Macaca mulatta: one gene and its partner. The protein of the gene in region 1 purifies or fractionates together with the protein of each later gene. This does not show direct contact. Links are inferred from orthologs where the notes say so. Each region holds a gene or a part of one and is shown in the gene's direction. Other genes may lie near its edges.

Region 1 (3,431 bases):
ATTACATGTTCTGGTACTTTTCCTATCTTTCTGTGTAAATTTTTGCTATTTAAAAAATAAATTTCAAATATATTGTTCATCTTAAAAGTCAAGAGTTTGTTTTATTAAAGTCAGTTGCTTTATTTGCAATTCAAAGATATATTTGAGTTTCAAACTGGAGATTGTCCTGTACGGTAACTTGTGTAAGGTGTGGTTATTGAAAGTAACCTCTAATTTTCATGGGCTGAAATTCATCTCTAATATTGCAATGTACAAAAATAAATAAATAAATAAATGCTTGTTTTCTTTGAAAACATATTATCTCAGTGCCTCTAACTGCCAAATCTATTGGCTTTCTTTGCAGGCTTAAGGGATCTCCCTTGTTCCTTTATTATCTCTATCTTGAGAGCCAGACCTCCTGCCTTACACAACTCAGAGGGGGACCTCAGAGCTTTTTAAAAAGAGCCCAATTTCTCGCCTGTAGAGAAGTGAAAAGGATGCCCCGCCCCCATCTATGAAAAGAAGGATTTGATGGTTTCAATGTCTTCAAATCAAAGATTTAAGTCTCTAGCCCCCCACCACACCGGACCCTACCAAGGCTCATGAACCCCCTCCCATCCCTCCCTAATTACTTTGGACTGGCCCTGGAATCCTTGTCCCAGTCCACAGTTCCTGTGCGTCTGCAGGAAGAATTCACACAGGACCTGTGTTACTTCCCTTGTGAAGAAACAGAATTATCATGAAAATTTAGGTGGAAACCATTTCGCTTTTTTTTTCAAAAATAAGGGAAGCATGTGCCCAACCACCCCTGGGAAAAAGAACTTTCAGGGGCAAAGGAGCGAACAGGTAATTTATAAGAAAAACAGAAAGTGGTCTCTGACTGCCCCAGACTTCCTTCGGAGTTGGGGGAATTGGGGACGCCTGGACGCGTTGTTTTTGTGGTTGTGGAAAAAATAAATGAAAAGCCTGAAGCCCGAGGCTTCTGAGATCCTTTCCTGACCAAATCCGGGTGATTTGGTGCAGGGAATTTTAATATTTTTCCCCTTTTGTGAGGTGGAACAAACACAACTTGGGAGCAGCGCAGCGACTCAGAGCCTGCCAGCCAGGCGGGCCACCAGAGCACCAATCAGAGCGCTCCTGCGCTCTATATATACAGCGGCCCTGCCCAAGCGCTGTTTCATCGGCGCTTTGCCACTTGTACCCGAGTTGTTGATCCTCAACATGTCCGAGACTGCTCCTGTCGCTCCCGCTGCCGCGCCTCCGGCGGAGAAAGTCCCCGTAAAGAAGAAAACAGCCAAGAAATCTGGGGGGCCGCCTCGTAAGGCATCTGGTCCCCCGGTGTCAGAGCTCATCACCAAGGCGGTGGCAGCCTCTAAAGAGCGCAGCGGGGTTTCTCTTGCTGCTTTGAAAAAAGCGTTGGCTGCCGCCGGCTATGATGTGGAGAAAAACAACAGCCGAATCAAACTTGGTCTCAAGAGTCTGGTGAGCAAGGGCACTCTGGTGCAGACTAAGGGCACCGGTGCTTCTGGTTCCTTCAAACTTAACAAGAAGGCAGCCTCCGGCGAAACCAAGCCCAAGGTTAAGAAGGTGGGCGCAGCCAAGCCTAAGAAGCCGGTTGGGGCAGCTAAGAAGCCTAGGAAGGCGACTGGCGGCGCTACCCCGAAGAAGAGCGCTAAGAAAACACCGAAGAAGGCGAAGAAGCCGGCCGCGGCCACTGTGACCAAGAAAGTGGCCAAGAGCCCAAAGAAGGCCAAGGTTGCGAAGCCCAAGAAAGCTGCCAAAAGTGCTGCTAAGTCCGTGAAGCCCAAGGCCGCCAAGCCCAAGGTTGTCAAGCCTAAGAAGGCGGCACCCAAGAAGAAATAGGTGGACGCCTGCTTCAAAAAACCCAAAAGGCTCTTTTCAGAGCCACCACTGATCTCAATAAAAGAGCTGGATACTTGTTTTTCTTAGTTGCCCTTGTTCCTTTTCTTGCTCGACCCTGCTCCTTAAGGTTAGTCGAACGGGAACCTTATAAGACAAATAAGTAACGGGGGTTCGAGAGTGGCCGTGGTGAGGTTACGGCGCTTAAACCTTTACTGCGACTTCCATGTCCCTGACTGCTGCTTCGAGGCGTTTCCCGCTGGCGGATGTTTTTGGGATGGCAGTCAGCCACGCCCCAGGCCTGTGAAAGGCAGAAAAGATCGCAAAACAAGAGCCAGTTTCTTCGTCTAAAGGGATATCCGGATTGGACTAAAAAATAATTCAAAAGTCCCGCCCTGCTCCTGGGTTGGTCCGTCGTTCTAGTCCATGACTTTAATTCTATATTTAATTGGATGGTGGCAGACGTTGCTTATTCCGTGTGTGTTGCTTCTCTGTGACTTGAAAGTTTTGCCTCTTGATATTAACGTTCGGGATTTCGGACGCTTTCCATGTTGTAGGTAGTCAAGTTGGTATCTCCTGGAGGTAGTGGCAACATCCAGCCCTGGGAGGAGAGTGCGTGCAGGTACCTTTGTCCTACATTCCTCTGCTGTTAATTTCTCATTCCTGTGGTAACAAAGGAATGCATTTGAATAAACAGCGGCAATAGCCCTTCCTCCACCCAAGGCAATCGTGGACCTAGGGAGCTTTTTGTTTCTCATATCATGCATGTAGTGTTCCGCTAAACTGACAGATTTGAGCGTATCGATTTTGAGCGTATCGAAAGCACAACTTTTAGCCAGCCATTTTGTCCTCGCTTGACGGTTACTTATCCTCAGTTTAGGCAGACATCAACATTTAAAAATCGAAGTTCTTTTAAACACATTTTGTTTGGCAGTCCAAGTGTTTCTACGCGGAGAACGATTTGTACTATTAACTAAAGTATATGGATAAATGAGAGACATTTCTAATAAAGGCCTTCGTTAATGGTTCCCTCTATTTGACACCCATGGTGCTTCTGAATACAGAAAACCTAGCGTCTTATATTCGGTTCTTTTAAAATCTGATAGGCACATTTCGGTGAGACCTAAATTATGTGGACCGGGACTTCTGGAGATAAGCTGCTCAGTTATTCTACCATCTCCACAATGATGAATGTAGTGAGTTAATTTCTCTGTTAGTGATAGTGACCACGGATTCATCCCAAGAAAGGGAGAAAGGGGAGGGAGGCAAGCAGAGAGACAGGGAGGCAGAGGCAGGGAAGAAGGAAAAAGCATTCTCCCATGGGTTAAGTAATTTTGTGTTGTTAATTTTACATTACAACACGGTTTACATGGTGAACTCTATTTTGGTGTAAGGTTTAATATATGGACATATTTTCTCCCAAGACCATTTATGAACTTTCATTTCTGCTTCCCCCTTCTTCCTTCCGTGTCACCCTCCACACTCCTATCAATTTTGGCTATTTTTGTCATAGGCTAATAGGCTAAAATTTCATGGACAGTTGGACTGTCTCAGGTTTCGGTTTTATTCCTTTAGTCATTCCCACAGTTCTT
Region 2 (4,050 bases), on another chromosome or scaffold:
TGCCTCACCCTCAGGTGATCCACCTGCCTCAGCCTCAGACTCAGGTGATCCCGACCTCAGGTGATCCACTCCCCTCAGCCTCCCAAAGTACTGGGATTACAGGCGTGAGCCACCGCGCCAGGTGGGATTATCTCGTTTTTACTAGAAGGCTCTATCTCCTGGGGGTGGGATGGGGTGGTGAGATCAATTCACCTGGAAGTGGAAGCTGGGAACCTGGTTTGAGTTCTGATAGTTCTGGGGTCCAGCCCCTTATCTTGCTTCGCCTGGAGGGCTGAAGGACTGGAAATACTTTTGTTTTGGGGCTGGAACGCGGGCTGCAGTTTGGGAGGCGGCGGTAGTTTGGAAAAGGAGGCGGGGTCTGGTAAGCACTTTACCCGAATTGGGCAGTGGGAATTTGGGAATTGAGGACAATGGGAAGCTGGTTCTGAGTTTTAAACTGGGGAGTGACAGATCAGAGCTGGATTTTTAGGAGTTTCTCTGTCTGCAGGTTTAAAAAAGACCCGGGTGGGAGGTAGGGCTGGGGTGAGGAGGGAGAGAAGTGGACGATCTGAGAGCTGAGGCGGGGTGGAAGGGAGAGCAGCCTGTCAGGGGCTCGGGATTCCGGCCCAGGCGGCCAGAGATAGAGATGAGCTTCTTTCTCCGAACTGGGTTTGCTAACCTGTGACTGTCACTACTCCATGCTCCAGGGCACCTGGCCCAAGGGATCAAGCCTTTTGGGCACACAGATCCACCTGGAGCCCTGAAGGACCAGACAGGGACCTCGCCTTCTCTGTGTCCTTCCTGGGAAGGGGACTCCAGACCAACTGCCAGTCTTCCGGTTCCACCTCTCTGACAACCGCTCACCTCACCCTCCTTGGCATCTTTATTTCAAACGCTCTGTCCTTTTGTTTGCACGGGTTCCTGTGTCACATTCTGTGTTCCCATTTTTAATTGGAGAATAAGGGACTGCGTTATTCTACCCACAGGCCTAGCTGAGGGGATAGGGAGGCCGTGCCTACCTCCAAGGCTCTACGAAGTGAAGCAGGCGAGAATGTGCAGTCGTCGAGGCCAGAGGACCGGGCCTCAGCTTCTCCTTAAGACCCTGAGTCCTCCTCTGGGGACCACCCCGTTGTACCTGGAGGAGAAAATGCCCGCCCAGGAGGGAAGGGTTGGCCCCCAGAGAGCCCGCTGCGAAGTGAGTTTGCGCACTGCGGAGTGACTCCAGCGCGGCTCTGCCAGTCCGCGGGGCTGGCGGGGAGCAGGTTCGTGCACCGCGGGCTCTGCATGCAGAGGCGGGAAGCGCCCGCAGCCCGGCAGCCGGCCCAGCGGGAAGGCGCAGCCCGGGCTTCCGAACCCTGTGAACGAACGCGCAGGTTCCTGGTCTTCCAAATGGGCAGGAGTCGTCCTACCTGCCTGGGGTGGGAGGCCACATGGGGGCACTGCGCCCGGGAGCGGTCCCGGGTGTTTTCCAAATGCCCACTGCTGCTCTCATCCGTACCAGCGATGATCAAGAAGGGGCCTGGTCGCCCGGGGAGGTGCCCCGGTCCGACTTGACTCCGGGGACAACGCCGGGCGACGCCATCTGCGCAGGTCCCGGAAGGCCGCTTGTGTCTTTGTGCAGGGCGTGCTGTCTGTGGAAACGCGAGGGCACACTAGCACTTTCCTGTATGTATCATTATACTTCAATTTTTAGGAAGTACATTAGGAGGGCCTGCACCAGCCAAATTCGGGGATTAAAGCTTTTAAGCGGGAAGCACGCGCCCCGTGCTGTCCCTTTAAAGCGTTGGGCCGGCCCGAGGCATTCTGGCCGCTGCCGCTGCCCGTAGCGCTCCTCCGAGAGGCCGGCTTTGTGAGCTCGCCCCGCCCCCAGGACACCGCCCCCCTCCCCTCGCGCACGCGCACTGCGCCCCCGCCGCCTGGCGCCCGCCCGAGCTGCCGCCTCGTCGAGCTGAGTCCGCGCTCCCGCCCAGGCGGCGGCCGACGCGACGCCCCGAGCGCCCGGCCCCGCCGCCGCGGCCCGGCAGGTAAGCGGGTAGCCGCCCGGCCCGGGGAGCGCAAGGCGGGCAGCGGGGCGGCGCCAGGAGCCGCCAAACCACCCCCGGCCGCCGCACGTGTTCCCCGCCGGGCCTCGGGCCAGGCCCAGCCCCGGGCGCTGCTCCAGCTGCAGCGGCCCCGCCCGGGACCCCCGCCCTGGCCTCTCGGTGGACGGCTGCGCGCGTAGGCCCCTCCACCCCGTCCGCCCCCACTCGCGCCCCCACCTCCGCTTCCCCGGCGGGCCACTGACAAGGCCAGAGCGCCGGCACTGGGGCCTCTTTCCCGCAGGCGGCGTACCGGCCTCACATCGCCCCTCTTCCTCCTCTGCCCCTTCAAGGAAGGACCCCAGACCCACCAAGCCACTCAGTCCCTGGACGTGGTGCGCTTCCCCTCCTCGTAGAAACGCCCCCAGCCCGCTCCCGCCGCTCACCCCAACCCGAGGTAGCCAGGCTGCAGTTCGCTAGGTGGGGTCCTGGGGTGCGGGTCCTCGGTCCTAAACGGGGGGCCCACCGTGCCTCCTCGCGCGGGGCCGCAGACCTGTCCTGGCCGATCTGCGAGAGCCATTTTGAGCGGTTACGTTCCGGGACCAAACTGAGGTCGGCCTGTTATTTATCGCTAACGACACTCCCTGCTGTCTCGCTTGCAAGTTTCCACTCACCCAGGTCCGTTTACCCATCTCTTCAAATGCTAGTTTAATCTGTGACCTGGGCAGGTGCTGTGCTAGCCGGTGGGGAAGACAGGTAAGCGAAGGACCCAGGCGGAAGCCTGTCCAGGATCTCAGAGAGGTAGAGCCGGGTTCCCACCTGTGTTGGGCTGGCCACCTGGCTGGTGTTGAAGATGCAGATTAATTCTTGTCTTTGCACACAGTGTGCTCTCCTGACTGCACGCCGCAGGCAGGTTCCTGGGCTGGATCTCAGGGACTGAGGGACTCAGGCATCAGCCTGTGGCATGCAGTCCAGGAGGCCATACTGAGATTTGGTTGCTGGGCTTCAGGTGGTCAGGCTTACCTGGATGAAAAGCAGTGGCTGCTAGGTGGAGTCAGGCAGCAGCTGGTCTAGAGGTCACCTCCTCATCACCGTGCCTGTAACCTCGGTCCCCCCCCTTTCCTCAGTATCAAGTCTCCAACCTTCCTGTTCCCTCAAAATGATTGTTCCACAGAGACACCTGGTTGGTCATGAAAATGCCAAGCCTTGGCCCAGCGCGGTGGCTCACGCCTGTAGTCCTAGCACTTTGGGAGGCTGAGGCGGGCGGATTTTCTGAGGTCAGGAGTTCGAGATCAGCCTGGGCAACATGGCGAAACCCTGTCTCTACTAAAAATACAAAAAAGTAGCAGGGTGTAGTGGTACGCACCTGTAATTCCAGCTACACAGGAGGCTGAGGCACAATAATTACTTGAACCCGGAAGGTGGAGGTTGTAGTGAGCCGATATCGTTCCGCTGGACTCTTTGGACTCTGTCTTAAAAAAAAAAAAAAAAAATGCCAAGCCTAGATGCCACTACTGAGGTAGAAACTTGGCAGGTGTGTTGGGTCAAGAAATTGCATCTCTCCCCCTACCACCACCACCACGGAATTTTTCACTCTTTGGCCCAGGCTGGAGTGCAGTGGTGCAATCTTGGTTCACTGCTATCTCTGCCTTCCAATTTCAAGCGATTCTTCTGCCTCAGCCTTCCCAAGTAGCTGGGATTACAGGGACCCGCCACCACACCGGCTAATTTTTGTATTTTTAGTTGGGACGGGGTTTCTCCATGTTGGCCAGGCTGGTCTTTATCTCCTGGCCTCAGGATCTGCCCGCCTCCTGCCTTGGCCTCCCAAAGTGCTGAGATTACAGGCGTCAGTCACCACACCCTGCCACTGTATTCTTAAAAGTCAGGTTAAGGTTGTTTTGTTTGTTTCTTTTAAATGTTAATGGTTTTTGAGCCCAAAGGGTTGGGCAGGTTGGGCTTGAGCTGGGAGGGGCTGGGCACCTTTTTTGTAAGACCGCCTACCTGTTGTTCCTCATGTGAGGGTGTTTCCAGGTGTCTACCCTCACCTAGGTGA

What was found.
Region 2: the proteins of H1-2 (region 1) and WDR5 purify together in Homo sapiens (affinity purification with mass spectrometry; 3 studies listed by BioGRID, with this or other methods). This does not show direct contact. The link is inferred for Macaca mulatta from reciprocal best matches to the Homo sapiens genes H1-2 and WDR5.

The regions. Positions count from the first base shown.
Region 1 is NC_133409.1:157,052,074-157,055,504, forward strand, and holds H1-2 (histone H1.2), read left to right. Parts: upstream 1-1,158; 5' UTR 1,159-1,200; coding exon 1,201-1,842; 3' UTR 1,843-2,874; downstream 2,875-3,431. UniProt on the Homo sapiens protein: Histone H1 protein binds to linker DNA between nucleosomes forming the macromolecular structure known as the chromatin fiber. Histones H1 are necessary for the condensation of nucleosome chains into higher-order structured fibers.
Region 2 is NC_133420.1:8,377,309-8,381,358, reverse strand, and holds the start of WDR5 (WD repeat-containing protein 5), read left to right. Parts: upstream 1-1,216; 5' UTR 1,217-1,263; coding exon 1,264-1,352; exon of another isoform or gene 1,353-1,480; coding exon 1,481-1,644; intron 1,645-1,884; exon of another isoform or gene 1,885-2,003; intron 2,004-2,058; exon of another isoform or gene 2,059-2,753; intron 2,754-4,050.